2 linked regions of the Pelodiscus sinensis genome follow. Each later gene encodes a partner of the first gene's protein in a complex. Links are inferred from orthologs where the notes say so. Each region holds a gene or a part of one and is shown in the gene's direction. Other genes may lie near its edges. The genes, in order: MPP1 and GYPC.

Region 1 (14,882 bases):
CGCCGCGGCGGCCATTGGCCACGCTCCGAGCTGCAGGCTCATTGCTCCCCGGACGGGCAGGATCCCAGCTGAGCTGCCCCCAGTTCTCAGTGTGCCCATGAGAGCAGCTGGCCCTCCCCAGCTTGGCCCCAAGAGGACCCCGCCAGGGGGACGAGAGAGGCGCTCCGGCACCACGTCCCGTCAGCGCTGGGTCACTGTGCCAAAGCCCCTGGCACCAGGGCAGGCGAGTGGCCGTGGGCGGTGGCTGCGGAACTGCCCCAGCCAGTTCCCGGTGCTAGAAGGGGCAGTGGGGTTCTGCACGTTTACCCGGCCACCCAGTGCCCTCCACTCCCACTGGAAGCAGGGCTCAGAGTTCAGGGTTGGCGCTTTGATTGCTCCCGGAGAAGGAAAAGCAATCTGCCTCCAGGGCACTGACTCTCACTTATCTGCGCCTCGGGCTGCTCCTTGCAAGGGCAAAGGGCAGGCAGAGATGAGGCGCCTGCAGAGATAAGGGCACTCTAGCACCAGGGGCCGTGGAGGAGGGTCCACAGCAGCAGGAGGAAGAGAAACTGGATCAGACTCTTCATGTTTCAGCATAAGTGCCAGATATTGGACCTTTTCTAAATCTACTTTTATGAAAAATCTCAACTGCTTGGGTCAGCACCAGCCCCTCCAAGTCGCTGTTCAAAACTCCTCGGAGAAAACCCCAACATGTAACCAGCAGTATTAGGGTCTGTCTACATGGGAATACTCAGGAAAGTGAATCTGAATTAACTAAAGGTGTAGATAAGTGAAACTCATCCAGCTGCTGTGTTGACACTCTCGTTCAGGATTCAAGAGCCCGTCAGTCCATTTCGCTTCACTCACACAATTCAATCCCACCGCAGCAAGGCCATGTCCATGCTGAACGACAGGCTCTTAATGACGTTTAACTCACCGACTTCAGACGTTAATTTGAATCAACTTTCCTGGGTGTCCCCAGGCAGACGAGTCTCCGGGGCGGTTCCAGGCTTTCTGAAGGCCCGTCAGGCTGTTTCAGCTTCCCCCAGACCTGCCTCTCAGGTCCAAACCCTAGCGAGACGGGACCCCCCGGCTCCTCTTCTCTCGCCAGCCTTGGCGCTTCCCCTCGGCAACGGGGGCCGGGGTAACCAGCCCCACTCCGGCAGAGTTTGCCTGGCCCCTTCTGTGCTCCCTTGGTTGTGCTGTGGCTGTCAGCCTAGGACGTGATCCTCCAAACAGTCTCAGACAAAAACCCAGAGGTGCCTTTTGCTGCCCCTCCTACTGGGGCACGGTGTCTACCTGGGAGTCTCACCCGTCCCCTCACAGGCGCTCGGGTTTGGCTGTCTCCCCTGCGGGCAGGCACCTGGCCTCCTGCCCTGGAGTGGCAGCTCCGCTGTCAGGCTCCCCAGAAGGGGATGTTTCAAGGCCTCCGCCAGCCCTAATTGGATTCAGACATCCCAACGTGACCTGAGGTAACCCCTTCTCAGCTTAGAGGCGCATGCTCCGGTTAATCCCTGGCCTTCCAGGAGCCTCTTGCAGGCGTCACTGCGCTCAGCCCGGGGTCCCGGTTCATGTGACGCCGGCCCAGCAGCCTGCCAAGAGCAGACACATGCATCAGCATGCCAGGAGGACGTGTCCGCAGGCTCTGCTGTACAGAACCGTCGGGCATGGGCAGGCAAACGGCTGGCAGGCCTCGGGCGGGCACTACCAGCTGGTCTGCACTGAGACTGGTGACCAAGGGATGCAAGGTGCCCTGGGCCTACCCCGAAGTCCCTGAGGCGCAGTCAGGCGCCGTCTTCCCTTGCTCTGGGGCTCGGGAGAGACCAGGTGGGTGAGGAGCCGGCTGGGCCCTGGGGAGGCAGCAGCGACTCACCCCCGGGTGCTCTACGGGCTCTGAGGCAGACAGCAACGGCCCCTACCTTCCCCGGGACACCCTGCAGCCGGTTCGGTTCCACCGCGCCCCTTTCGCTGACGAGAACGTGCCCCTCTGCAGGAGTCCGCAGGTCCTGGCTGGCAGACTACACGGATGACCTCTGGATCCATGTCCGGGAGTCCTTCCCCCGGGTAGCTCTGTACGCCTTCCCCCTGGCCTTGGGGTTCATGCTCCTCCTCTGCTGCATCACGTAAGTGTGCGCCTGCTTCGGAGCACAGGCCGCTGCCCCGCTGCGTCCCCAGCCCAGAGCCCTGCGTGGCCGCTTCCTTCCTTTGCCAAGGCTGAAGGCCTGGCTCCGAAGGCGGCGCGGCCGCAGCGCAGCGGAGAAGTAAGGGCAGCAAGACTGAATCACGGCGGCTGCGGCTGGGGCTGCCTGCCTGGGGAGGGGCATAAACAACTCCCGACACCCCAAAGGGGAGCCAAGCCAGCACCGCTGAGAACCACTGCCCAGAGCTCATCCCCAAGGGCAGGAGACAGCTTTCAGGGGCCAGTCTGAGACTGGAATGAACCCCAGGGACCGCGGCCGAAGTTCAGCTCCTTGGCCTGCCTCGCTAACGGAAATGCATCGCTCTCCTCCCCCGCCGTAGCAAGACACCCCGGGGAGAGGCTGGGAATAAACCGCAGGGGCCAGGGGCCAGGCACGCAGCTGGATGTGCCACACTAGGCGCTCGGGAAGGAGGGTGAGGTAACTACTCAGAGCATCCATGGCTGATGCGGCCCCGCCCCCGCTCCCTCTCTTCGGAGCCTGTGTCCCGGGAGACGCTTTGACGGGGGTGGGTGGGAACAATTCGTTTCCTTTCTTTGAAAAAGCGTTTGCAGGAGCCCGAGCACTGTGCCCTGCTGTGGGGGAAGCCCTGAGCAGCCTCCTTCCATTGCGGGTGTGTGGCCGGAGGCTGCTCCCCGGGGCCTGGCGCCACCTCTGAGAGGTGTGTGGTTCCAGTAACCCTGGGCAGGCCTTCGCTTCCGGGTCCCACAGCCAGAAGCAGGGTCCCCTCGGGCAGGAGAAGGGTGTAGCCACAGCACGTCGCCCCTTCATCACCGTCATTCCGCCTCCCAGCCCCTTCCCCGGTCAGTCCTTCGCTGAGCGACCTGCCGCTCCTCTGCTCTCCCAGGGTTCTTTTGGACTGAGGAGACCAGACGCGCTTCCGCAGACGTGCCCATGTCCTCTCCGGCCTGCGAGGAGACGCCAGCCGGGCCCAGATGCTCACGGCCCAGCCGGAGGAAGCCTCCCCAGGAAGTTCGAGGGCTGCATGTTCCACAGACAGATCCCTCTGTGCTGTCACTACCACTGCAGGGCTTTATTTGAATGAAGAACTTTCTCCCAACAGCCACATTGAATTCCGTATTTCCAAATAACTCCTAGGGCTTGTCTACCTGGTGTGGCAGACCAAAGGCAGCGGGTGAGGAGTTCGGTCCTAGTGGGGGCCAGGAGGTGGGCGGGCGGGTGTGCAGGAGGAGTTTGGTGGCGGGCAGGCACACGGGTAGTTGGGTGTGTAGGTTCATGTTCCCTCAATAGGCTGCCAGAGACAGCTTCTCAGCCAGGAGGTCAGACAGGCACCTGGGACTCCTTCAGAGACTAGGGTTGCCAGATGGTTTAACCAAAATACCAAACCCCCTCCCCCCCCAAAAAAAAACAGTTGAGGAAAAAAAGGGGGAGAGACCAAAGTTGTTGAGAAAAAAAAAGGCTCCAACAGTTACTAAGCAAAAAAATAAACAAATCAAACCCTCACAAAAAAAGCCAGCATAGCCCCTTTAAGGCTTTTGGGGTTTTTCTTACTCTGTGCAGGAAGAGAGCTCCCCTGTGGAACCAGGTAAGTAGGGAGCAGAAGGGACTTGGGGGGGCTGGGAGGGGCCAGGGGGCTGGGCCCGGTTGCTGAGTGTCACAGGGTTGCCAGGTGTTTGGTATTTTCACCTCCTGGCAGGGGAAAAAAAATCAGAAGATGCTGGACATTTTAGGTGTCTGATTTTTGTACTGTCCCTATGCTGGCGTAGACCCGCCCTACGCTGACAGGAGGGGCTGTCGGTCAGAACGCCACCTCGCCACGCAAAGGCAGCTGAAATGTTCTAGCTGCATCTCCACTGGGACTGAGAACAGCCTGGCTCTGGCAGTCCAGGGGGTGGAGACCTGAGGTGTCATCAATGGAACGTGTAAGGCCAGGCCTGAAATAATGTTCAAGTGAATTAGTGAGATCACATTAAGCCCGTGTGGATGCTTTTCTTCAGAATTAAAGTGACCTGAACAGTTTAATTCTTAACTGACATCAAGTTTCATTAAGTCACTTCAGGGAATTAAACTAAACTGAATTCAGGTCATTCTCATTCTGAGTAAAAGCATCCACACGGGTTTAATGTGACTTGTGTTGCCCAGGGGTCTTTCAGTGCAAAGGTCTCAGTAACTTTGCTCCATGCAAGGATGCGTCAGGAAAGAAATCAGGGAAGTCGTGGGCGTCCGACTGATAGATGGCACGCGCAGGACAGCACGAGTGCTTCCACTTGCAGCTACGCTTTACTTAGCACGGGCACGTCTGCAGCAGGTAAGCAGAACACCCCACACTCAATTGCTGGAGTTGGCTGGTGCTCCATGCCACAGCGGCGGCTTTCCAATGGCAAAGCGTCCATCTGCTGGTGGGACAAGATGTGTCCAGAGGGAGAGGCCCAGAAGTGCCCCCCCCCCCCACACACACTTTTCTTCCCTGTTTTCATGAGCAGGCCAATAACAGGTCCTACTTCCGGGTTCTCTTCTGATCCTCCATCAGCAGATGTGTGTGGGCATGGTTTGCAGGCCCTGTCGGACACACCCCTGGGCACAGAGACAAGCTCCTCCCTTCTGACTGCATCTCAGCAATTTCCACGTCAGGAAGGGTGTAGGGTCAGGCTGCCCTTTCTGTGGCACCCAAACCCCCTCCCCTCCTGATCTGGTCATGCTGCAGCCTAGGCCCATGTGCAGCCTGTTAGCTTGGCTACTTGTCAGCTCATCTTCCTGTGGGACCCTTACCAGCCCATAGATCTGCAAAGCCTGCCCTGCCATGTCCCATTCCCTGATGGGCGCCTCTGGCTTCTCTCCAGCTCAACGTGGCTCTGCCCTGTAAGAAAGAGGGTTTCCTGCCACCCGTGGCTCACAGGCACTGCTCAGGAGCCCCACAAAAGAGCTTACAGAATCTTTGCTCCATTCGTTTACAAGGTGCCTTTGTAATGGGATAAGCCCTTCCCGGCTGCAGTTCTGAGTCGTGGTACGGGTCCCTCCCGAGCAGGCTGCGCTGTGACGTGAGGGACTTGTACCAGCCGGGGTCCCGGCCAACGCCAAGGTCTCCTTGCACTAGACACTGCGCAAACACCGTGAGCTCTCTGGGACATCTGCTGTCTCCTGCTATCTGAGCAGACAAAACAGGACGGGTGGGAGGGGAAGGATTTGCACAAGGTCAGTGGAGGGCTGAGAAGAGAAGCGAGGTCTCTGACTCTCCAGCCAACTCCTGTTCTCCTGGATCAAACGCCTCTCAGCACTGGCAAGGTGGCACCCCCGACGGGAGAGTCAGGAAAGCCCCTTGGCCCGCAGGGGGATGGGGCAAGCAGAGGTTTTCTGACCGGGCCTCTAGAGACGGGTGTGAATCAACCCCCCAGATCCGAACAGCTCGACTTCAGGGAAGCGGGGCTCAGCATGCGGACCTGGCTGGGCTGTGGGGCGGGCAGATCTCAAGTCCTGTCCACGCTGGGTCTCGTGTTGCAGTCTACGGCCCTGTAGCCGTGTGCCCACATGCCTGGCAGGGCGGAGCAGGGGCTTGTTTTGTTGGGCTGCCATGCGGGGACCATTGGGACTCTGTTCAGAGGCTGGCGGCTTTTTCATTTAGTGCTGGGCAAACATTTTCAGACTAAACTTTTTTCATCAAAAAAATGCAGGTTTGGGTCCATGGAAACATTTCACAAATTGGCAGCGAAGTTCCCAGCTGCTCTGGAGGGAACTCCCAAGAAGACTGAAGTGCCCATTCGGACACTTCCCCAGTCCGGACAAATGGCATTTCAACCTCTCCTCCATTTCAAAAAGCTTTTACATTCTCAAAAATGAAATGAAATGTTTAATTTGACCCCCAGGGATTGGGGGGGGGGACTGGGAGAGTGCGGGTGTGGGGGATGGGAGAGTGGTGATGGGGGGGACTGGGAGAGCACGGGAAGGCGGGGGGCGCACGGCTGGCTGGGGGCAGGGAAGAGGAAGGCGGGGGGGTGCGCGGCTGGCTGGGGGCGGGGAAGAGGAAGGCAGGGGGCGCGCGGCTGGCTGGGGGCGGGGAAGAGGAAGGCAGGGGGTGCGCGGCTGGCTGGGGGCGGGGAAGAGGAAGGCAGGGGGCGCGCGGCTGGCTGGGGGCGGGGAAGAGGAAGGCAGGGGGCGCGCGGCTGGCTGGGGGCGGGGAAGAGGAAGGCAGGGGGTGCGCGGCTGGCTGGGGGCGGGGAAGAGGAAGGCAGGGGGCGCGCGGCTGGCTGGGGGCGGGGAAGAGGAAGGCAGGGGGTGCGCGGCTGGCTGGGGGCGGGGAAGAGGAAGGCAGGGGGCGCGCGGCTGGCTGGGGGCGGGGAAGAGGAAGGCAGGGGGCGCGCGGCTGGCTGGGGGCGGGGAAGAGGAAGGCGGGGGGGCGCGCGGCTGGCTGGGGGCGGGGAAGAGGAAGGCGGGGGGGCGCGCGGCTGGCTGGGGGCGGGGAAGAGGAAGGCGGGGGGGCGCGCGGCTGGCTGGGGGGAGGGAAGAGGAAGGCAGGGGGGCGCACGGCTGGCTGGGGGCAGGGAAGAGGAAGGCGGGGGGGCGCACGGCTGGCTGGGGGCAGGGAAGAGGAAGGCGGGGGGGCGCACGGCTGGCTGGGGGCGGGGAAGAGGAAGGCGGGGGGGCGCGCGGCTGGCTGGGAAGTGGGGGGGCGCACGGCTGGGAGGGAAGCGGGGGGGGCGCACGGCTGGGGGAGAAGCGGGGGGGCGCACGGCTGGCTGGGGGCGGGGAAGAGGAAGGCGGGGGGGCGCACGGCTGGGGGAGAAGCGGGGGGGCGCACGGCTGGGAGGGAAGCGGGGGGGGGCGCACGGCTGGCTGGGGGCGGGGAAGAGGAAGGCGGGGGGGCGCGCGGCTGGCTGGGAAGTGGGGGGGCGCGCGGCTGGCTGGGGGCGGGGAAGAGGAAGGCGGGGGGGGCGCACGGCTGGGAGGGAAGCGGGGGGGGCGCACGGCTGGCTGGGGGCGGGGAAGAGGAAGGCGGGAGGGCGCACGGCTGGGGGAGAAGCGGGGGGGGCGCACGGCTGGGAGGGAAGCGGGGGGGGCGCACGGCTGGGGGAGAAGCGGGGGGGCGCACGGCTGGCTGGGGGCGGGGAAGAGGAAGGCGGGGGGGCGCACGGCTGGGGGAGAAGCGGGGGGGCGCACGGCTGGGAGGGAAGCGGGGGGGGCGCACGGCTGGCTGGGGGCGGGGAATTGGAAGGCGGGGGGGGCGCACGGCTGGGGGAGAAGCGGGGGGGGGCGCACGGCTGGCTGGGGGCGGGGAAGAGGAAGGCGGGGGGGGGCGCACGGCTGGGAGGGAAGAGGGGGGGGCGCACGGCTGGCTGGGGGCGGGGAATTGGAAGGCGGGGGGGGCGCACGGCTGGGGGAGAAGCGGGGGGGCGCACGGCTGGCTGGGGGCGGGGAAGAGGAAGGCGGGGGGGGCGCACGGCTGGGGGAGAAGCGGGGGGGGGGGGCGCACGGCTGGGGGAGAAGCGGGGCCTCCCCATCAGCCTCTCTCCGCCCTGCCGGGCTCTCCGGGCCCCGGGGGCGCGGCTCTCCGGCGGGGCGGGGCGGGGGAGTGACCGAGCCCGGCGCCTGCCCCTGCGCTGCCCGGCGCGTCCTTCTTGCGCGGTTCCGCAGCCCGCGCCGGACCGAGCCGCTGCAGCGCCCCCGGCCCGGGGACTGGAGCCGGCCAAGCCCCCGCCCGGCCGGCTGCAGCGAGCCCGACATGACGCTCAAGTCCAGCCGGGGCGCCAGCGTGGGCAGCATGCGGACCGCGCTCTCCGACCTGTACCTGGAGCACCTGCTGCAGAGCCGGCCCAAGGCCGAGGTGAGGGGCGCGGCAGCCGGACTCACGGGGCAGGGCGCTGGGTACAAGGCGACTGGTGCCGGGGGCTCGGGGCCCGCTCACCAGGCCGGGGGGGGGGTAGAAGTTGCCGTAAAGCGCCCCCCCCGCCCAATGCTGAAGCCCCTGCCCAGGGAAGGGGCAGTTGCAAAGCTTGTTTTGGACACAGACTGGGGGGCACCCCCCACAGCACCTTTGGGCCCCTCCCTGCTGGAGGGCGCATGCTGAGCTCGGCCTCCGGCTCAGGGCAGGCTGTGCCCCCCAGTGCTGGGAGAGGGGCCCAGCAGAGGAGCCCTGTGGCATGTGCCCTGAGCAGCACCCGCCAGAGAAGGGGGGGGAGCCAAGAGCAGCAGCAGAACACGAGGTGGGTGCCACGACCCACAGCCTCCTGCAAGCGGCTGCCCTGCCTGCTGCGTGCAGAGCTCGGCCCTTCCCCCAGGCTAAGGTCCCCGGGAGCTTCCTGCCTGCAAAGGTGGCCCCAGGGGGACGCTAACAGCTCCCTGTGGTGCTTCTGGTGCTCGTTAACGCCGCTGGTGCCTGCGGGCTGGGATGCTGGTGCTGCTGGGGGCTGGCTTTGCAATGCACCGAGGCCAACACTGTCAGTGCCTGGGTATTTATCACAGTGCCAGCCCAAGCAGCCCTCAGCGGTGGGCACCTGCCCTTAGATGTCTAGTTCTGAGTCGCTAGCTCCTGCCTTCCCTGGGTGGAACTGACGTGCCGAGCGGTTTGGGGTACAGGTGTGGCATGGCACCGGTCCCCCCCACGGCTGGCGAAGCAGGGCCAACTAGAGCCTGGCCCTGGGGCTCACAGTGGCTCTGCACCACTCCGTTTCTCCATCTGCACCAGGGGGGAAGGGTCCCACTCCTGGTGTGCTCTGAGATCCATGCTGGAAGGTGTTTACTGCAGCATCTCTCGGTTCTTGTTCTCGCCCCGCGCAGCCTTGCAGCCTTTTCTGAGAGCCACACACAAGGGTTGAGGCTGGCTATGGCAGCCACTGCTCTGCACAGCTCCAAAGAGATCAGCTGTTAGCGCTCCACTTTGCTTGGATCCCAGCCCCGGCAGAGCCCAGGGCCCGTCTCTCGTGTGAATCCGGAGCGACTCCCGTGAAGACAGCAGCATTAGAGTGGTGTGAAACTAGAGTGGGTGGCATCAGGGTTAGAGGCAGGGGTGCCGTGGCTGGGAGTGGGGGGGTGGTGCTCTGTGTTACTCCCATGTTACCTGCCTGGCTGATGTGGGGGCAGCGTTGATCAGTTCTGGAGAGGGACAGGTGCCATGGAGGGAGGTGGCATTCACTGGCCCTCGGTCTCGGAGTGCGGTTGGGGGGCAGCTGGCCCCGAATCTGTCGGGAATGGCCCTGTTCTGTTTCTTGCTGAGCGTTTCGTGGGCGGCTCTCCTCTCCTCTCCTCTCCTCTCCTCTCCTGGAGGACAGGCAGCGGGAGGGGCATGTCAAGCTGGCTTGGAAGAGGATTTGCCGTTTTGGGGTTGCCGAGCGGGAGGAGGGGGCTGCAGCTCCAGGCAAAGACGAGGCTCTTTCTTGTTTTTGCTGCAAAGTGCAGCTGGTCTGAACTGGAGCTGCCTGTCACATGAGCTGCTGTAGCTGCTGAGCAGCCTCCACACGCAGGTCCCCGCGCCAGGCTGGAGGAGACGTGGCAATGGGCTTCAGCCACGGGAACAGGCCACTGCGTGGCAGTGGGGTGGGGAAGGGAGCCTCTGCAGCGGCCGCATGCCCAGCGGTCAGTCGGGGAAGCCTGTGCACTCCATGGAGCCATGAGTCTATCCCGTGAGGCGCTCGCCTGTTTGGCCCAGCAGTACCTGGGGAGGGGGGTCACTCGCCAGCTGCACACTTGAGCAATGAGGCTTCTGGTTTTAAACTCACACAAGCAGGGAGGAAACTGGAGACCAGACTGAAACTTTATCCTTAACCCACCCTGTTGTGCAATAAGCCATCCCCTCCCCCCTGAGTGAGTCAGTGAGCTTTCCGCCAGAGCCCTGGAGTCTCTGGCTGGAGGGTGGGTTTGGTGTGTCACTCTTCACGGTTCCTGCCCCCGGCTCACTGCCCCAGATCCCACAGCCGGCTCCACCGGGGTGCCGTGGCCTCAGACTGCAGTGGCGCTGCGACTGGACCCGCTCGGAGTCTGCGCCCCCGGGTTTCCTCTTGGTGCCCTGCTCTGCATCCGCGGGTCTGTACCCTTAGGAGCCGCAGATGCCATATGGGGATGCAGGGAGCGAGGCATAAGCAGTGGGGCTGGTGGGGAGCTGGGGGGCACGGGGCTGCTCTGTTTTCCTAAAGGTCTCCTGGTGCGTCAAGGCATTTGGGACAGGCCTTGGCCCAGAGCCTGCAAGGAGCCAGCTGTTTCTGAGCCCAGGAGGGACGTTGAAATACGCGTATTCCTGTGAACCGGAATTCTGAAAATCCGTTGGAGCTGAGCAGGACGCTTTGCTTGAGGAAATCCAAGCTCCCAAGTGGCGTTTTGAACCCGGTTTGGGCCTTTCTGGGTAGGAGCAAATTGCAATGAAAAGCCATTTTGAAACGGGAGATGAAATGTTCTGCTCTCACAAATTCATAATGGGCAGGTTCAGCCTCCTTATGATGCTTTTTGTGTGGAACGTGCGCTGAATAGTCGCCGCGGGCTCCGTGCTGTGTCCCAGCCCTCCGGACGGGTGGCGAAGGAGGAGGGTCCCCGGCCCCTGGCCCTGCTGCTTAACCCTTTACTGTGCTGGGCACATGGGTGGGGTCTCCAGGGCTTCCCTGGCTCCTTGCTGCCTCCTTTTCTCTCTCCAGCTGTGGGTGGGCACTGCAGCCGGGTGCTCTTCCCTCCTCTCGGCCCATTGAGACACAGAGCCTCTCCCAGTCCGTCAAAGCCCCCTGGCTGCAGGTACCACATTGGAAGGGGCCTGTGCCCCCAAGGAGCCCTGGTGATCAGTAACCAGCTGGGGAGCTTGAGCTGTCTCTGTGCACAGCTAGCAGGCCCAGGGGAGAGTAGCTGGGTTGTGCTGTTGTGAATGGCTTGCTTACGGCTTGGGAGGGGGAAGACAGCCTGTGCCCTTAACTGGGCTAGTGAGGCTGGGCGGGTCCCCGGGCCCTCTTGGGGCTGGCACTGGGGCTCTGGCCTTGCCCTCCCTCCCGGGTGGTGGATGGATTCTGGGAGGAGCGGCTGTGATGGAGCCAGGCGGTCGCTCGCTGTTCCTTGGGTCGCTGTACCAGCCCGAGAGCCCCGGGGAGCTTGGCAGCCTGGGTTTCCCATGGGAGTCCTGGCTTCCAGCCAAAGCTGACCACGCGGAGGCAGGTGGCTCCATCCCCTTTCGGGCATGCAGGGGGCAGAGCGGCTCTTTGGACAAGGTGAATGATCGAAGTGCTGGGAAGTTCATGGTTGATAGCCTAGCGGTGGGGGCCTCCTTTGCTATGCTGGGGCTGCTTGTGCCTCTCCTCCCCCAGGACTCGTGTGCCCTGGGGGGGAGGGTGGCTGGGCCTTTCCAAGGAGTCTCCTCTCGCCAGCCCATTTTACAGATGGGGGCTGGATTCAGACACTCCAGAGCTTGATCATCTGACTGCTCTGCCTTGCTCCCAGTGGGGTGCTGGGCAGTGTTCCATGTGCAGAGGAAACTTTATTGTGTGTGCCAATGTGCACCACCAACAGGAACACACGTTAGCAGCGGCGCTCTTCTAATCAGCTGGATGGCATTGGAATCTCTTAGTGGCCGCCCGGGTGCCCAGCTGGCAGGGAACCCTGGTGCTGGGGCTGGGTTGGTACCTTGGGGGTGGAATGGATACAATTAGAGAACACTAGGGCTGGAAGGGCCCTCGAGAGGTCGAGTCCAGTCCCTGCCCTCATGGCAGGACCCTGCACCATTTACCATTCCTGACAGATGTTTATCTAACCTGCTCTTAAATATCCCCAGAGATGGGGATTCCACAACCTCCCCGGGCAATTGATTCCAGTGTTTCACCAGCCTGACTGGCAGGAAGTTTTTCCTGATGCCCAACCTCAACCTCCCTTGCTGCAGTTTAAGCCCCTTGCGTCTTGTCCTCCTTAGCTTCTGAGGACAGACCAATTTTTCTCCCTCTTTCTTGTGACACCCTTTTAGATGCCTGAAAACCGCTCTCCTGTCCCCTCTGTCTTCTCCTTTCCAAACTAAACGAGCCCAATTCCTTCAGCCTCCCCTCCTAGCTCCTGTTCTCTAGACCTTGAATCGTTCTCGTTGCTCTTCTCTGCACCCTCTCCAGTTTCTCCACATCTTTCCTGGAATGCGGGGCCCAGAACTGGACACAGTCCTCCAACTGAGACCTGCCCAGCGCAGAGCAGAGCGGAAGGACGACTCCTCGTGTCTTGCTCCTGTGAATGCCGCCCAGAATCACATTTGCTTTTTTTTGCAACAGCATCACACTGTGGCTGGTATTTAGCTTGTGGTCCTCTAGGACCCCTAGACCCCTTTCTGCAGGACCCCCCTACCCAGCCGCTGCCCATTCTGGATGTGCTGCACCCTCCATCCCTTGGCACGTGTGGCCCTCACAGGCCTGTCTGCAAAGCCCCACGAAGCCCGGGTGTGCAGAGCAGCAGCACTGTGCCCGAGAACTGAGCCTGGATCTTCAAAGCGGCACCAGGTGCCCTGGGCTCTGGCCTGAGCTGGGTCCCAGTGCACCAAGTGCGGCACCACCCCTTGCCATGGCTGCCCGGGTTCTGCTGGGCCAGCATTCGGGCTGTACTTTTGCTGCCACTGGCCCCTCGCAGGGCGCCCGGCCAGCACCCTCCGAGGCAGTGGAGAGCCCTGCATGAGCAGCCGGCTCTGCCAGACCCTCGTGGCCCCGGCTCTGAGGATCAACAGGCCACACAAGGCCCTGCTGTGGAGCTCTGGCTTTGCAGGAGGTTTGCTCTGACCAGGCTGTGGCACATCCCCTTAGCCAGGCCTGGCCCAGCCCCGCTGCCTGGCCCCTTTGTCCAAGCCAGCTCGGAATGGAGGCTTTTCGGTCTTGTTCTTGGGAAGCTCACGGTCGCCCGTTGCCTTGCTGCGGCCTGGAGATGCTGCTTGGCGGGATGGAAATGCTGCGTTTACCCACCCGCGTGGAAACGAAGCCAGCACGGGATCGGGTTCCTGACTGCACCAGCCCTTTCAAACTTCCCCTTTTCTGGCGTACGCGGAGCGCAGCCCTGGACCCGCTTTGCTGCTGTGGTCGCTGCTGCCGCCTGACTGCGTCCGGCCAGCCCCAACTGAGGTCCCTTTTCCAACCCTTTCTCCAGGAGCCAGGGCTAGCAGTGTACTTGGCTGCCACTGTCATGTAGTCCTGGGGCTCCGGTAGCTGGGGCCTCGCTGAGTCCTGCCAGACTCAGACAGCTGAGAGCTTTGCGTTGCCAGTCCCTGTAACCCTCCGCGCCTCGTGCTTTCCCCTCTGCTGCGGCGTCTGCTTGGGACCCGCCTTGATTGAACCCAGGTAGAACACCAAGGCCGGCGCCTGTTTAACCCCAAGGGGCTGGCCCTGGCTGTGTGTGGGGCTGTTAGCCCAGCTGCCCGCAGCAGAGCAGCTGGCTCTCCTGTCCCTCTTTCTTCTCCCCTGCGCTTTGCTTTTCCCAGAGTCGTTTCAGCAGGGCGGGTGGGGGGACGGAGGAGAGGTTGGGAGCAGGTGTGCGGAGCTCCTCCTCCATGAGCTGCCTCTGCCCCCGGCTGCCCACTCCTGCCTGGGCTCGTGCTGGTCCTGTCGTGCCGCCCCCAGGGGCGATGGTGCGAGTACAGTCTGCCTGCCTGCTCGTGCGAGACTCCCTCTAACTTCTAGGGCCGTCCTTTGGGGGAAGAGCCAGTCTTGCGTGAGCAGCGGCTGCTGCTGGGGAGTCCAGGCAGCCTCAGCAAACTGGCCCCGTGGCTAATTACCCTCGTCGTTAAAGATGTTCCCATATTTCCAGCCTGCTTTGCCTCACGTCCTGCCACTGGGCCCTGCTTGCGAGACGGGTGAGCCCATGTTCAAACGTCTGTGCCCGGGCCGGGATCCAGCCCTGTCACCTTCTCGTAAGCTAAATCGATTGAGCCCCTCGACTCGCTGTCTCCTCCTTTGCTTGTTCTCTGACCCTGGCAACCGCTCAGTCTCCTTGGCCCCAGATCCAGATGTGGGTGTCCCAGGGCCGAGGGCCGAGATAAAAGAGCCCCCCCCCTCCTGCTCAGGATTCCCCTGGGGATGCTTCCAGGCTGGCATCTGCCCTTCTGGCCACCCTGTCACAGCAATAGTCCCCCTGGCCCCCCATCTCTGTCGCTGCTTCCTGGGAGAGTCCCTGCCCCATCCCAGGATTGCCTGCTTTGTGCAGCTGCAGCCGTTGGCACTGAGCCGTGTCCAGAGCCGCGTTGGTGGCTTGGGCTGACGGACTGCCTGGGCAAAAGGCTGTGTAGCGCGGCAGCCAGTGAGCGCCCCAGCTGCTAGGCTGCTGAGCAGCTACTGGGCAGGGCATGTCGCCCATTACGCAGCTGGAAGCAAAGGTCGGAGCGGGGGGAGGGGAGTCCTAGGCTGCCCCCAGCCGGATCCGCTGACGGGAATGTGCTGAGCCGGGTGCTGGAATCCTGCTGAGTCAGTCGCCCCGCGATAAAGGGGAAGCCCTGCTGACTCGGCTCCCTGGAGACACTTTGAACTCTGGCTGGGCGCAGGGAGCCTGCTGGAGACCGGGAGCCGCCTGCCTCAGAACAGCTCCCTTCCCTGCCCAGAGCTTCCCCACGGGTCCTCCTGCTCTCCCGCCCTGTCTGCTCCCTGGGCCCAGGCGCATCTCGGTGTGTTCTGTCTCCCCGGCCTGCGTTGCGGACCTGGCTCCTCATCCGCCTGGGGCTTGTCGCTCAGCCACGTGCTGCACCTGGCTGGGGTGGCAGCCGCATCTCTGGCCAGACGGATTTAACACGTCGGGCAGGAGCAACCTGCCCGGCTCTTGAATTTCTAGGCAAAG
Region 2 (15,201 bases), on another chromosome or scaffold:
TGGTCCTGCCGTGAGGGCAGGGGACCGGACTCCATAACCTCTCGAGGTCCCTTCCGGTTCTAGTGCTCTAGGATTCTATGCCCTCCATGCAGATGCCGGAAGGGACAGGGCATTGATTGGTCTGCTTTCTATCAAAGCAGGGCTTGCAAAGATTCCGATCACTTCTGCAAGCATTAGATTAACTGCGCCCTAAGATACTCCTTGGCTACGTCTACACTGGTATGATTTTCCAGAAATGCTTATAACGGAAAAGTTTTCCGTTATAAGCATTTTCGGTAAAAGCACATCTACATTGGCCGGATGCTTTTCCGGAAAAGCACTTTTTGCGGAAAAGCGTCCGTGGCCAATCTAGACGTGTTTTTCCTCAAAAAAGCCCCGATCGCCATTTTCACGATCGGGGCTTTTTTGCAGAAAAGAAATCTCTGCTGTCTACACTGGTCCTTTTCTGGAACAGTTTTCTGGAAAAGGACTTTTGCCCGAACGGGAGCAGCATAGTTTTTCCGGAAAAGCACTGATGATTTTACATTATTCATCAGTGCTTTTCCGGAAATTCAAGGGGCCAGTGTAGACAGCTGGCACGTTATTCCGGAAAAGCAGCTGATTTTCCGGAATAAGTGGCCAGTGTAGACACAGCCTTTCTGTTTAAAGTCACAGGCAATTGTCTTGGTACCTGTCTGCTTTTCATTGCTCCGTATTCATCGCCAAAGCAGAGAGACTTTCAGTGCAAATGCGACTGTCACAACCCGTCGTCCGAAAACACGGCCTCTCTGTGCTAAAACAAGGACTTAGTTACAGTGGATAAAAACAAAGCGCTGAGTGAATATCTGTAGCGACCTCCTGGCCCTGTGTCTTAGCACAATTCCTATTATTAGATTTATTATAAATAGCGCTGTGGTAGCCCTGATGCCCGAGTGACGTTTTCCTTGCTACTTACAGCTGTATTATTTTTTAAACCACCACGGTTTTTTACATGGAGTTTTTTTCTTCCTTTTATAGTTAAACTTCTGAGCCGATCAGTTGCTTAACGTCAGGAAGAGCAAAATCCGATTCAGCCCTGCAGACACACAGACGCTTAACTCAGTCATGGGATGGGCTTCCCTTCATAAAGCCTCGCCTGAGCTCAAGCGATCGCACGACAGGAGCCTCGAGATGGCGGGATTATGAAAGACAAAAATGGGAGTCAGAGGCCAGCAACTTTCAGCGAAAGCTGGAGCCTAGACTTTGTGCTTAGTTCTTACGTAATTCCGTGGGAGTTAGGAATTGATGATCTGAGTCTAGGTGTAACGCCAACATCTAGTGACTTTTGTGCTTTGGAAATTTCCCCTTATTGACTTACCCTGGTTTGCTCAAGTGGCAACATTTCCACTGAGCTTAGAGACAACATTCAGAACATACTGATCAAAATGCCAAAATTCTCAGGCCATTCTGGGGGACAAAGGGAGGCAGGATCCTTGGTGTATAACTTAGCGTTATGGATGTTGTAGTCCTTGAACACTGGTTCCAATGGGTCCCGCTAAAACTATATCATGTTTTAAAAACGGGTTAATCGGTTGCCTCTTATTTTCCTTGTTCAGGAGTCAAATAAGTTTTAAAAATTGGAGGTGTGTGTCTGCGGTGGTGTGAGTGAAGATTTAGCCTGGACCTGTTCTAATAATAAATTGCATGCTGATCATATTTTTACTGCAGCCAGGGCATAGTTTAGCTGTATCTGATTGGCTCTAACTCAAGAGTTCTGACTTTCAGCAGACGAATACACAGTGGTGAGAAAAGCAGCTCACAGTTATTATAGCCACCCATGACAAATTGGGCTCCAGAAAACACAGAGACAGTATTTGTGAGCTTTTCTAATGATGATGTGCAGATCTTTGCTTCTAGAAACAACAGGCTTCATTGTATGTGTGTGCAGCTTTTAAATGAAGGTAATTAGACCCAATAATGAGACACATAAAGGTCACAGATGAGGTTGATTGACCATTTCTGCAGTACATCCCATAAGTCATGTGTTAGCAGTGTCATGTCCCAAGTTTCATGGCAGGGAGGCAGCGAACATGGAAACAATCCAATGTGTCAGGAAACAGATGTTGGCTCAGAGATCACTCCGCCAGCACAAGTAGATCCGGCCACTTCTATTCCCCATAATAGCAAAGCTCGATCATGGAATTAAACCAACCACTCGGTCAGCTCGTAGATAACTGCTAAGTAACAGGTAAGCCCCAAACTTCTAAAAGGGCCAGGTAGTATGTGACACACCGATTCTCAGTTTAGACTTTTGCTGCATTTGGGACAAGGAGGAGGAGCTAGTGGAGGAAGCAACAGTGGCTTTGAGCTGTTGCCCTGTGTGTAGCCACTGGCGTATATTTGAGCAGCCTCAACTGGTGCTGTGCTTTCCCTGGCCTCCTCAGGGCCCTGAGAAGAAGAGAGATTCATAGTCCAGTGGAATCTGGATTGAACTGCAATTCTTCGCCACAGAATTCCTATGGGAACGCGGGTGAGTCACTTAATCTCCTTGTACCTCCATTCCCCATCTGCACAATGGGGACAATCATACAGCCCTGCTTCCCAAGCACATGGGGAGGATAAATGCATTAAAGATTATGAGGTACTTCAACACTCTGATAAGACAGCAATATAAATACTGAAGATATCTAGAAATAAGGACAGGACACTTAACTGATGTTCACCTCGCAGGTCAGCCACCGATTTCCTGTGTCACTCTGAGTAAATCACTTCCCCATCAGCCAAATGGGAATGGTTGAGGTCTCTCTTTCCCAGTGGTATCAAGGGGATTGCATTTAAGAAAATGGAGGCCAAATGAACCAGCTTCAGTGGTATGGACTAGAAGTAGAAGTAGTTCCGGCACAGGTAGATTAGTGGGCAGTGGGCAGGTGAGGCGGTCAAAGATATAGGCTGCGTGTGTGTGTGTGACCACTCCCACACCAGTGTGACCCCTCTATAATAAAATGGCACCTAATTTGCAGAGTGCTCTGTCATCCTTTGTAAGACACAGGCAAACAGGACATTCTCAGGAAGGCTCTCAAAGCTTTGGAGATGGGCAAATGAACAAATGTCTCCATCACGGCAAAAAAAAAATTCAGTTAAAAATTGCCTTCCCTCTTTGGGAGACTCTGTGGGCCAAGAAGGCTCAGGTATCAGCCCATGAAAGGCTGCCACACAGGCTGCTCAACCTGCCTGTGCTACCACAGAGAGCGGATGCCTCTGGAGACATACAATGTTTGACAAAATAACGCTTTCACCTGCGGTTTAGTGGTCCTTCTCCATACGACTTTCCCTGGCCACAGCAGCCGCTGGATGTAAGCGCAAGAGGAGGGTTCAGACAAAGGAGACATTCATGGCCAACGATAGTGTTTGATTCTCCTCACTTCCCTCCATGCTCCTTATTTCCTTTCTGCCTCTATTCCCTCAGGGCAGTTGACTCAGGGGTCAAAGGGAGAGAACACTGAACCTTTCTCCGTTCAATATTCCTCTCCCAGGCTCCTTGGAAAAGAGGCCTCTCTCCCCTTTAAAGCTCATAGACCCTTCCCCTGCTGGCGGACACAAAAGGTCCACCATGACGCAGAATCGCTGACTTTCTGCCGAAGGGCAGGGCCTTGCAAAGTGGGCCCCACACTCTGCAGATTGAGTCACGGTCTTGCAGGGGCTCCCAGCCCAGTGGCAAAGCAGGAAGTGGGGCTAAAAAAAATCCACTAGAAAGGAAGGATGCTCCAGGGTACGTCTAGACTACGCCACTGTCAACAGAGAGAAGTTGATTAGGCACGTCAATGTTGCTAATGAAGCCAGGATTCAAATATCCCATGCCTCATCAGCATAAACATGGCCATTGCTTTTTTTCTAAATGGAGTTTTTTCAAAAAAAAAAACCTGGCAGTCTAGATGCACATCTGTCAAAAATAAAGCCTTTTTTGACAAATCCTGTAGTCCTCAAAAAACGAGGTTTACAGGATCTGTCGAAAAAGGCTTTATTTTCGATAGATCCACGTCTACACGGCTGGGTTTTTTTTTTGAAAAAACACCATTTAGAAAAAAAGCGGGGGCCATGTTTATGCTAATGAGTCATGGGATATTTAAATCCTGGCTTCGTTAGCAATTTTGACATGCCTAATCAACATCTCTCTGTCGACAGAGAGGTGTAGTCTAGACACACCCCCGCGTTTAGGGCGATCTTCGATGATCTAGACTGCATTAATTACTCTGCTACAGACGTACGGTGGACCTCCTTGGGCAAATCACTTATGGTCAACTCCTCTGAGGGTACCTCACTCCCGTGGATTTCAGAGGAAGCTCAGAGACGAGTTACTTTGACAGTCTAGGACTCAGTCTTGCCTCAGTTCTTCATGGGGATAATAGAAGTTCCCTTACCTCACAGCAGTGTTAGGAAGTGAAGTAGAGCAAAGATGGTGAAGAACACTGTGTGGTACTACAGTAATGGGGGCCATATCATCCCTTCAGGACAGGAACTGTCCACTCCTCTATTTGTACAGCGCCTGGCACAATGGGACCCTGCTCTTCTTTGGTCCTGGGGCACTCCTGTAATAAACACGATTAATGGTAAGCCCCTATAATTAGACAGGGGTGAGGTCACAGAAGACCCTTTGGGGCTGTTCCCTGGTGTGCTGAAAAAGCCACTGACACTCACCTTCTTGCTCTCTGGGACTCCCCACCACCTGTCCTGTAGGGCTAGATTCTCTTTTCTCCCCCAAACAACGCACAGAGTTGGGGTAACTGCTGCCCCCTCCCTCCAAAAAGCAAAGCAGATGTTGAACCAGTTCCGCTCCGGGAGCATGCAATTCTAGCTCAGCTGTTTTGGCAAATCAGATTCCATCCTCACCACAGAGTTCCCGAGCATCCAGAGAAATTAGTCCAGATGGGAATGGAGACAGGATTTGTGGCTAAGGCCGGATCTATGGTTAAAAAATTAAATTGCTCCTGGATGTGAAACCTTTCGCACCCTGTGTGATGTGAGCAGGTCGATTCGCTACCCTGTGTAGACACAGATGGATGCAGGTTAACTTCACTGGCAAAATAACCCCTTTCATTGACGTAGGCTGCATCCACACTATGGTGCTATGCAGAGACACCCTAAGGACTGTAGACACACCCTAAGGGCTTGGCACCACCTCAGCCTCCTTCCTCCCCTTTGCGTAGATCCACAATGCGCTGTGCGAGCAGCGGGTTTTTGGGGCAGAATGGGAAAGCCGAAGACAGCGGTAAATAGAGTTCTAGTCACTATCTGCCATTCATTGCCAGTGTCCGTCCACTGCGAGTCAGATCTTAATCTGGTACAAACTGATCTGAGGAAGCCAGTGGATTCATAGCAGGCTTTTTTGTCCCTGTGGCCCTTGCTTTGCTGTGCTCTGCATGCCAGTGAGTATCCGAGGGCTCTCTACATACCGTGAGATTCTGTTGAACTCGGCGCTATGAGTTATTTACCGTATCGGTGCCTGCAAACAAGGCTAAGTTGTTTGGAGTCGGCATGTACGTTGCCACTCCTTCCATCCTACCGTTGTTGAATAAGTATCGGGAGCCAACTACACAGCCATGTAGGCAGCAGCCGGTCCCTTAGGTGACTTAACAGAAAGACGTTGACACACCCTTGCATAACAGGGAGCATTTCAGTCCCCGCTTTTCTCTGCTCCTCCCCTCCCCACTTTGAGTCAGACAGTTACTGTGTGGTAGACAAGGAAGGAATGCTATGAATTTATCCTGGCCTACACAGTCCATTGAGAACTGAGGATTGATCAGATCTTAATGAAGCCACTTGACTCTGATTCTAATGAACTAATAAAACAAACAAGCAAAGAAACAAATACATAACAAGATGAATGAATAAACGAATAAACGAACGTACAAGCGAGTGAGCGAGTGAGCAAGCAAATAAATAAATAAATTCCCTGTATTTTGCGGATACCTAGAGGCCTTAACTGAGATCAGATGCTATGCTACATGCTGTACAGACACGGTAAAAAAACACGGCCCGAAGGATCAACGAGGAGTCCAGTTAGAGTAACAGATTCGTTGGGTTTTACCAATGGCAGCTCATGACCTATTTCATAAGATGAATTGGAGTAAGAAATTACAATCTCCAGGGTATATATAACAGCAAAAGAAGTTACCTCTCAGTTGTAGGACCAGTGTTAATGAGGCTAATTAAGGCAGTGTGAATGTGTCTCATTCGCAGCTTTTATTGTGGAGATGCGAATATCAAAAGAGGGAAAATTGCCTTTCCAATGCAGTGTACTCTCTGTTATTCCTTTCCAGCCTACCATGTGATAAAGTGGGCTTCACCCATGAAAGCTCATGATACCATTTTTTTTGTTAGTCTCTAAGGTGCCAAAGGACTACTCATTGTAATGTGTTAACCAGGTAAGCTCGTTATTGAAGCTTACGTTGATAGTGTTGAATTTGTTGGATATTCACATCTCTACAGCAAATGCTGCAAATAAGACATCCACCCTTATTTAGCCTCATTAACACCAGTCCTACAATAGACAGGTAACTTCTTTTGCTGTTCTACATACCCTGGATTCTGTAATTTCTACTCCAGCTCATCTGATGAAGTGGGTTTTACCCACAGAAGCTCATGACCTAATAAATCTGTTTGGGTATGTCAACACTAGCCCCCTAGTTCGAACTAGGGAGGCTAATGTAGGCATTGGAAGTTGCAAATGAAGCCCGGGATTTAAATACCCCGGGCTTTACTTACATCTTCCCATCTGGGCGCCATTTTTAAATCCCCTTAGTCCGAACTAACTGCCCACGGCTACATATGGCAGTCAAATATTAACTCGAACTAAGTCCTTAGTTCGAGTTAACTGTTACACCTCATTCCATGAAGTGTAACAGTTAACTCGAACTAAAGACTTAGTTCACGTTAACATTTGCCTGCCATGTGTAGCCACGGGCAGTTAGTTCGGACTAAGGGGATTTAAAAATAGCGCCCGGACGGGAAGATGCAAGTAAAGCCCGGGATATTTAAATCCCAGGCTTCATTTGCAACTTCAAATGCCTACATTAGCCTTCCTAGTTTGAACTAGGGGGCTAGTGTCGACATACCCTTCGTCTCTATGGTGCCACAGAACTGCTCATTGTTTTAAAAAAGGGTTTCCCCTCTGAGATGGCCTAAAGAGTTAATAATCTAAATAGGCAAGAAAGAAAAAGTATAAGGAGATGAGAAGTATTTTCATCCCCCTTTTATCAACAGGCAACTGAGGCGTACACAGACTCAGATACTTGTCTTAGGTCGTGCAGGAAATATGTGCTTGAAGCAGGAATTAAACCCCACTCTCCTGAAAACCAAGCCAAGTGTCTTGATCCCTGACTTCCTCCTTCCTCTTATTAACACCAGTGAAACTACTCAGACTTCAGTGGATTTATTCCTGATTTATACCAGTTAAATGAGAGGTACAGTTAGAGAATCTCTGGGCATAGACGTTTCTGAGCCAGAATGGAATTTGGATGCCTCATCCACGGGGCTGGTCCCCGTCTCGGGATACCAGGCTGGACAGGATTGAAACCAAGCCCTTTAAAAAGCCTTTTCTTTCTACGTGTTGCTGAAGCTTCGAAGTTCCTGGAAGGCAGAGGGCAGGGATACGTCAAACTTGAAAACAGCTATCTGAAAGTGGGGGCCCCTCCCTGCTCATGTGAGCTGGAAAGGCAGCAGAGAATGACACATGGGCTGTTTCCTTTTCCAGTTGTAAAGGGGTCAGGAACTCAGCAAGGAGTGTCTGAACAAGTGCTGCATTCTCCTGGGTCCTTGGTCTCTCTTCCCTGCCTCTCCAGCCGTCTCTCTTCCCTGCCTCTCCAGCCTGCGATTCTGAACAGAGGAGAAAAGCTGTCAAGGCAAAGAAAACATTTCTGAAGGCGTACATTATGAGTTCCCTAAACTCTGTAGTAACTCCATCACGTGAGTACCCTCCTTTCCTCTCCTCCTTGCAGGAACCGTGAACGTACCCGTCCATTGTTTAACCAGGTGACTTCTAAACACAGTTGACGTTCACAAACCAATTCTGAGGATTTCCTTAAAGGAAAGGGTTAGGGGTGAAACAGTCTGCTTTGGTGTGTGTCTGGAGGTAGCAGAGAGACACGAAACAGACATCTGCAAAGTTTAATTCCTGCATGTAACATTCAGAAATTTGTTACATTTCATTCTAAGTGCTCGTTGGGAGAAAATATAAACTAACTGCTTTTCCCTTCAGGAATGAAAGTATAAGCATTCGGAAGATTTAGTGTCTCTCTTCTGAGATATTAATGGTACCGCCTAGCTTGCAGTTAGAGACACCAAGCCGTCTGTGTGTAATATGAGATGCAAGCCAAAAACTGTCAGTCTATATTTAAAGTTACAATGCTTTTTTTTTTGCTTTGGGAACCTTAGAAACACAATCTCAGGGCAACTGAATTAGTTCTCTCAAGTAAGGCTATTGGGGGGGGGGGGAGAGGGAAATTCAATGCTGGCATAAGTCTGTTGTCTTCAGTGGTGAATGAGAGAATTGGCCCAGGGAATTCAAATGGCCATTTAATCAGCACATAGTAAAATATTTGGGGTAACATTAAAAAAAATTGAGGGCCGGTTTCTGATCTGGAGCAAATCCAGAATAATTCCAGTGATATCAATGGAAATTTGCAAGAACTACGAGAAGTCCTGTGGCACCTTATAGACTATCAGATTCATTGGAGCATAAGCTTTCGTGGGCAAAGACCCACTTCATCAGATGCATGGAAAGTTGTTTGCTTACAGTGGTGTAACTGACAGCAAACTCAGACTCACAGTTCAGAGGAGGGCTTTGAAACAGATTTTTTATTTTATTTCAAATGTAGCCAGTTTGGTAACCCCGCATAGTATTTTTAATGAACCCACCAAAACTGAACCGATGATCCCCACTGAAACCTGTTGGATGGGCGCTAGACAATCTGAAATTTGAAATTGACATTGTCTTCTAAGATTTGAATGAGATCAAAAGAGCGAGCAGGTTTGTTATATTGAAAAGAACCACTGGAATTTTAGGCAAGGATTTTTATTTTCCCCTGGTCTTTTTGCAAGTAGATGACAAATTAAAAGCTGAAAATTTATCTCCATCATTTTTTTTTTTGGTTCCTGTAATTTTGACAAGATTTAACCTTATTTACTGCTAGTGAAGGAAAATAGATATTCAGGCAAAGAGGGATACTTTGGAAGAAAGTACTGTGTCTGGATTATCTGTTGATTTCTTTTCAGACATGTAAATTACTGCAACCATTGCTCCCACATGCCTTGTGGGATGTGGAGAGGGGTTACAATTATTAGCTGAAATGCACATTATTGATTGTGCGGTGTTGTGGGCTACGCAGAAGCCCAATTTACATCCTTTACTAAGGAGTTCAGACAGTCTCCTGGGCCTGGATTCTGGTCCGAGCTCACTCGTGGTGGTGTAGATTAAATTAAATTAATGGAGATTTACTATCTTCTAGAACTGGAAGGGACCTTGACAGGTCATTGAGTCCAGTCCCCTGCCTTCACAGCAGGACCAAAGACCATCCCTGATGAATTTTTGCCCCAAATTGCCTCCACAAGGATTGAACTCACAACCCTCGATTTAGCAGGCTAATGCTCAAACCACTGAGCTATCCCTCCCCCCTAGCTGGAATAACTCTGCTGAAATCAGTGGAATGCCACAAGTTTAAAAAAAGCACAAGCCAACTCAAAAAATTGGGCCTCGCATTTGACTTATGTATGTATGAATTCACTGTGTCCTCATCTCACAACCGTGCACAAGGAGAAAACCGTACATCAAATCATCTCATTGTCTATATCACCTCAGAGGGCATTTTCAGTTTCTGAGCATATCAGACTTTGCAAACCATTTTTTACAACTGATAACTCCAGATGGTTCCATGTAAAAGGTGCACCCCTTAACCAAGTGTTGAACTGAAATAATGTTACTGTCTGCTTTCCAACTCTCCGAATGCTGCTTTTCCTGCAGATGCAGACAGGAAGTGCTGGTATCCTGTTTCAGTTTGCATCACAGTAAATGTGATCCACATTGTTTAAAACACAAAACAAGCACCAAATTCAATTAAAGGGGAAGCCTTCTGGTGACTCCATATGCAAGTTCAGTGCACTATTTCCATGTAGGCCTGTTTTGTTTTCCTGGCACAAAGCCAGTAGCTTTGGCACCAGTCCGTTTCTAATCAAGGCGAAGTTAAAGTTCAGTGTGTTCAGAGGTACAATACAGAACAGACAACAGATGTTTAACAGAGAGGGACTGTGTCTAGCAAAAACAAAGTTGTGTTGCTTGGTAAGCAACATGAGAAGTACTGAAGCTAGTGCAAAGATCCACAAAGCATCCCCAATACATCAGACTAAGTTAAATATCTTATACTAATTTTTTGATACTTGCTGGACAGGCCAGATGACAGCTGTTTTGTGATGTTGAGTGAATGGTGTTGGATAACCTAATTGCTAGGATGCTCTAGTTATTCTCTTGCATTTATTAATGAAAGAGAAGCAAGGCCGGCTCTAGGTTTTTTGCTGGCCCAAGCAAAAAAAATTTGGCTGCCCCCTCCCCCACCCCTTTTTGTTGGCTTTTACACGTTTCCACATTGCAATTTTTTTCTTTTGTTTTGGTGACAGAGTCAAGATTTCCAGCTCACACAAAGCTCTTTTTCAAGAGTGGGAAATGTACCTTCAATCTCTCCTTTATTGTTCTTATAGAAATAGGCTACTTTTGAATTGTGCTTTGAATGCATGAAAAACTATTCACACAAATGGTTAAGGAAATATAAACTAAGTACCAAAAAATAGAAGCGAAAACTTGTGCCACATCTAAAACTCAAGGGGTGCGCGTAGAGTGGCATGATTTTGCGGAAATACTTTTAACGGAAAAGTTTTCCCGTTAAAAATATTTCCACGAAACAGTGTCTAGATTGGCACAGATGTTTTTGCCCAAAAGTGCTTTTGCACAAAAGCATCCGTGCCCAGTATAGACGCGCTTTAGCGCAAGAAAGCTCCGATGGCCATTTTAGCCATTAGGCTTTCTTGCGCGAAAAATTAAGGTGCCTGTCTACACTGGCCGTCTTGCACAAGTATTCTTCCACAAGAGGGCTTATCCCTGAGCAGGAGCATCAAAGTATTTGTACAAGAAGCACTGAATTCTTACATTAGAACGTCAGTGCTCTTGCGCAAATTCAAGCGGTCAGTGTAGACAGCTGGCAAGTTTTTGCGCAAAAGCATCTGCTTTTGCGCAAAATCTTGCCAGTCTAGATGCACCCAAGTAGTTTATGGCTATATTTAATCAATCTTCAAACCAATTATAATCAGCTAACATACTTGTCAACCAATTATGATAACTATAGCACATAAGACATCTAAACTAAATCAATAAATATTTGTATTGTTAAACTAGATTTGTTTTGGAATTCAGTGGCTCCTTACGTGGCTCCAACACATCTATGTTATCAGATAAACTGAGATCAGTGGGTGTGCATATGCACATTATTTTTGTGTGTCCATCTTGCTAGTAGCCATTATATATTCAAGTTTATGAGGTGTTAGAGGGAGTAGAGAGTAGTATGTGCTCAATACAACTATATATGGAATGAAGCTTGCCTTGGAGACATCAAACACAAAAGTTTACCCGGATCAACAAAGTTTAATTCTTTAAAAAAATATCTATGAAACAGCATGTGTGATTCTTTGAAGAGTGTAGAACAGTTAATATTCTGTGTGTGTGTGTGTGTGTGTGTGTGTGTGTGTGTGTGTGTGTGTGTGTGTGTGTGTGTGCTGGATTCTTGTTTGGTTCTACTTCTACTACAAACATGAACAAGAGAAATATACTAGGAACAGACTTCAAAAGGTCCCTGGGTCTGAGGGTGTCGGGGCCTGAGGGGAGAGGCCAGGGTCAGGGCCAGCAGGCTGCGTGTTTGTAGGTTTGCCAGGTGTCCGGTATTTTCTGATTTTTTTTTACAGGACAGGAGGTGAAAATACCGGACACCTGGCAAGCCTAGGCAGAAAGGGGGCATCTTACCTGGTATTTCCATATGATGTAGGCAGAGGGATGGCTGATGGCTTGGAGTGGAGAGGCTCTCGGAGGTAGCGGCCACCAGGGAGGAGAAGGACTCAGGACTCAGGAATAGGAAACAGGGGCGGCCAGCAGGCTCGCACATGGTGCCATCTCCCGTGGCCCTTTAAATTGGTGGGCAGGGCAGGGCGGGGCTAGGTGTTGCGGGGGAGGGGAAAAGCAGGAGAGAAGACAGAGGTGGCATCTGGCCACGGGCTGCGGCCCTTTAAATCGGTGGGGCGGGGCTAGGTGTTGCCAGGGGCAGCACCGGTTGCTTACCTGAAATGCTGCCCCTGGCAAAGTGTAGGTTTGCCTCCCCAAGCACCTGCCTGATTTGCTGGTGCCTAGAGCCGGCCCTGATGAGAAGGGATTTTTACTCCCTCTCTCTTCGTATACAGCCCTAGCAGATTTACCAGGCATTGCTTGGCTCCTTAACTCAATTATTTTTTTTAAAAATCAAGGATAATGTACATGCCTTGTTGAAATGGTTATATTTTACAAACAACAGTGTTATTTTTATTAAGCTAATTTTAGCATTTTTTTTTCAAAAATGGGAATTCCATCAAGAGTATTTTCCTCATTCCTATAAACTCTTACCATTCTCTGTGTTTTAACCAAAAAAAGGGCTATTGCCAATTTGGTTTCCAATCACATTGTTTTCTCGCTTTCAAAACTTAAGCATTGGCAAAACAGAACACTACTCCAGATTTCTCCATTTTACCTCTTTTCTGTACAGTGTATTGGGAAGCAGTGCTATTCCAAGGTTCATCCGATGGGTTTGGCTCATCTTGGTTCAGTCTCTTTCAACAGTCACTCAGTTATGTCAATTTTGAGGCTTGTACTTGCATTGGTGAGTCTGTCTCTTTTCTGTTTCGTTTTATGAGACTCAATCCCATTCCAGGCACATCCTGTTTTCCAGCCACAACTAAACGCTTATGTTCCTTTAAGTTGTGATAAGAGGGAAATGTATACTGAATGTAGTGGTCATAGCTCTTACCATTTAGGAGGAAACTTAAAAAAAAACAGTGAATTGTCTTGCAGTACCTTGGAGACTAACAAAAAATGTAGATAGTATCATGAGCTGTCATGGGCACAGCCCACTTGTTCAGATGCAGGGAGTTAAAGGATCTAATGTTTATTTGAACCTTGAACCCCTTAAACTCCATTCATCTGAAGAAGTGGGTGTGCCCACGAAAGCTCACGATACCATCCACATTTTTTGTTAGTTTCCAATGTGCTGCAAGGCTATTTGTTGTTTTTTAAGTTTTTTAACTTTACAGACTAACACGGCCTCCACTTTGAAACATTTAGGGGGAATTCATAGAATTCTAGAATACTAGAACAGGAAGTGACCTCAAGAGATCATCCAGTCCAGTCCCCTGCCCTCATGGCAGAACCAAACACCATCTAGATCATCCCTAATTGAAATCTGTCTAACCTGCTCTTAAATATCTCCAATGATGGAGATTCTACACCCTCCCTACACAATTTATTCCAATGCTTACCCAACCTGCCAGGAAGTTTTTCCTAATGTCCAACCTAAACCTCCCTTTTGCTGCAGTTTAAGCCCATTAATTCTTGTCCTATCCTCAGAGATCAAGGAGAACAATTTTTCTCCTTCCTTCTTGTGACATCCTTGGGGGTATTTGAAGACTTCTATCATGTCCCCCCAGTTTTCTCTTTTCCAAACTAAACAAGCCCAATTCTTTCAGTCTTCCCTCTTAGCTCTTGTTTTCTAGACCTTTCATCATTTTTGTTGCTCTTCTCTGGACCCTCTCCAATTTCTCCACATCTTTCCTGAAACGGGGTGCCCAGAATTGGACACAATACTCCAGCTGGGGTCTAATCAGTGTAGAGTAGAGCGGAGTTACTTCTCTTGTCTTGCTCACAACACTCCCAGCATCATGTTTATGGGTTTGGTTGGTTGGTTCGTTGGTTGGTTTTTGCAAGAAAGTCACACTGTTGACTAATATTTAGCTTGTGGTCCGCTATGACCCCTAGATCCTTTTCAGCAGGACTCCTTCCTAGACAGTCACTTCCTATTCTGTATGGCTGTGTCTAGACTGCATCCCTTTTTCGTAAAAGGGATGCAAATTAGACACATCGCAATTGCAAATGAAGCGGGGATTTAAATCCCCCCCACTTAATTAGCATAAAAATGGCTGCCACTTTTTTCTGGCTCGGAGCTTTGCAGGAAAAAAGCGCCAGTCTAGACGCGGATCTTTTGGAAAATAAAGCCTTTTCCGAAAGATCCCTTATCCCTCTTAAAATGAGGGATGAGAACCATATGGTAAAGCCATTCTTGAACTGTTGTGAACATCCCTGCAATAGTGGTTTTGTCTGCATTGCTTTGAGCTACCATGTTTATTTTTATTATACTCAACCCATGAGATTTCCCCATATCTCTTCCCCTTCCTCCCCAAGGAGACAGTCACCGTGTGGATTGTTGTTACAAACATCTGAGAGTTGGTCCTCTATTTGGTTTCATGGCCTTTCAACAGGGGAAGCCTTGTCTGGAACAGAAAGCTTTAAATAAGAATGGAAGTTACTGATTAGGCACATTGAAAGTGCAAATGAAGCCGGGATTTAAATATCCTGCACTTCATTTGCATAAACACGGCTGCCGCGCTTTTTTCGAAATGGAGCTTTTTCGGAAGAAAGGCAGTCTAGATGCAAATCTTTCAAAAAATAAACCCTTTTTCAAAAGATACCTTATCCCTCAAAAACTTTTTCAAAAGATCCTGTAAACCTAATATATATATATATATTTTTTTAAAGATCCACATCTAGACTGCTGGGGAGTTTTTTTCGAAAAAGCTCCATTAAAAAAAAAGCGGCAGCCATGTTTATGCAAATGAAGCATGGGATATTTAAATGCTAGCTTCATTTGCATTTTCGATGTGCCTAATCTACATTTCTTTGTTGACAGAGAGGTGTAGTTTAGACACACCCATAGATAGACAGACAGACAAGCAGGCAGATAGATATTGTCAGTCCTAAGTCCTGTTTTCCAAAGTCTCATGGGAGTTAGGAGCCAAAGTTCCTAACTTGCTTTTGAAAAAGGGACTTCAATTTCCAAGGGTGGCACTTTGGAAAATTTGGCTGATCACTGTTCCTGCCAACTCTCTGGTAAAAGGAATGACGACATCTGC

The links.
Region 2: the proteins of MPP1 (region 1) and GYPC are in contact, whole or in part, in an NMR structure (PDB 2EJY), measured with the Homo sapiens proteins. The link is inferred for Pelodiscus sinensis from reciprocal best matches to the Homo sapiens genes MPP1 and GYPC. Residues at the interface, in NP_002427.1 of Homo sapiens: Pro81, Met82, Gly83, Ile84, Leu86, Lys87, Leu88, Leu100, Val130, Gln134; in NP_002092.1 of Homo sapiens: Arg123, Lys124, Glu125, Tyr126, Ile128.

The regions. Positions count from the first base shown.
Region 1 is NC_134723.1:779,339-794,220, reverse strand, and holds the start of MPP1 (55 kDa erythrocyte membrane protein), read left to right. Parts: upstream 1-7,698; 5' UTR 7,699-7,851; coding exon 7,852-7,953; intron 7,954-14,882. Other genes in the region: SMIM9 (small integral membrane protein 9), read left to right, coding at 1,973-2,102, 3,025-3,040. UniProt on the Homo sapiens protein: Essential regulator of neutrophil polarity. Regulates neutrophil polarization by regulating AKT1 phosphorylation through a mechanism that is independent of PIK3CG activity.
Region 2 is NC_134717.1:4,074,718-4,089,918, reverse strand, and holds the start of GYPC (glycophorin-C), read left to right. Parts: upstream 1-7,415; 5' UTR 7,416-7,886; coding exon 7,887-7,920; intron 7,921-15,201. UniProt on the Homo sapiens protein: This protein is a minor sialoglycoprotein in human erythrocyte membranes. The blood group Gerbich antigens and receptors for Plasmodium falciparum merozoites are most likely located within the extracellular domain.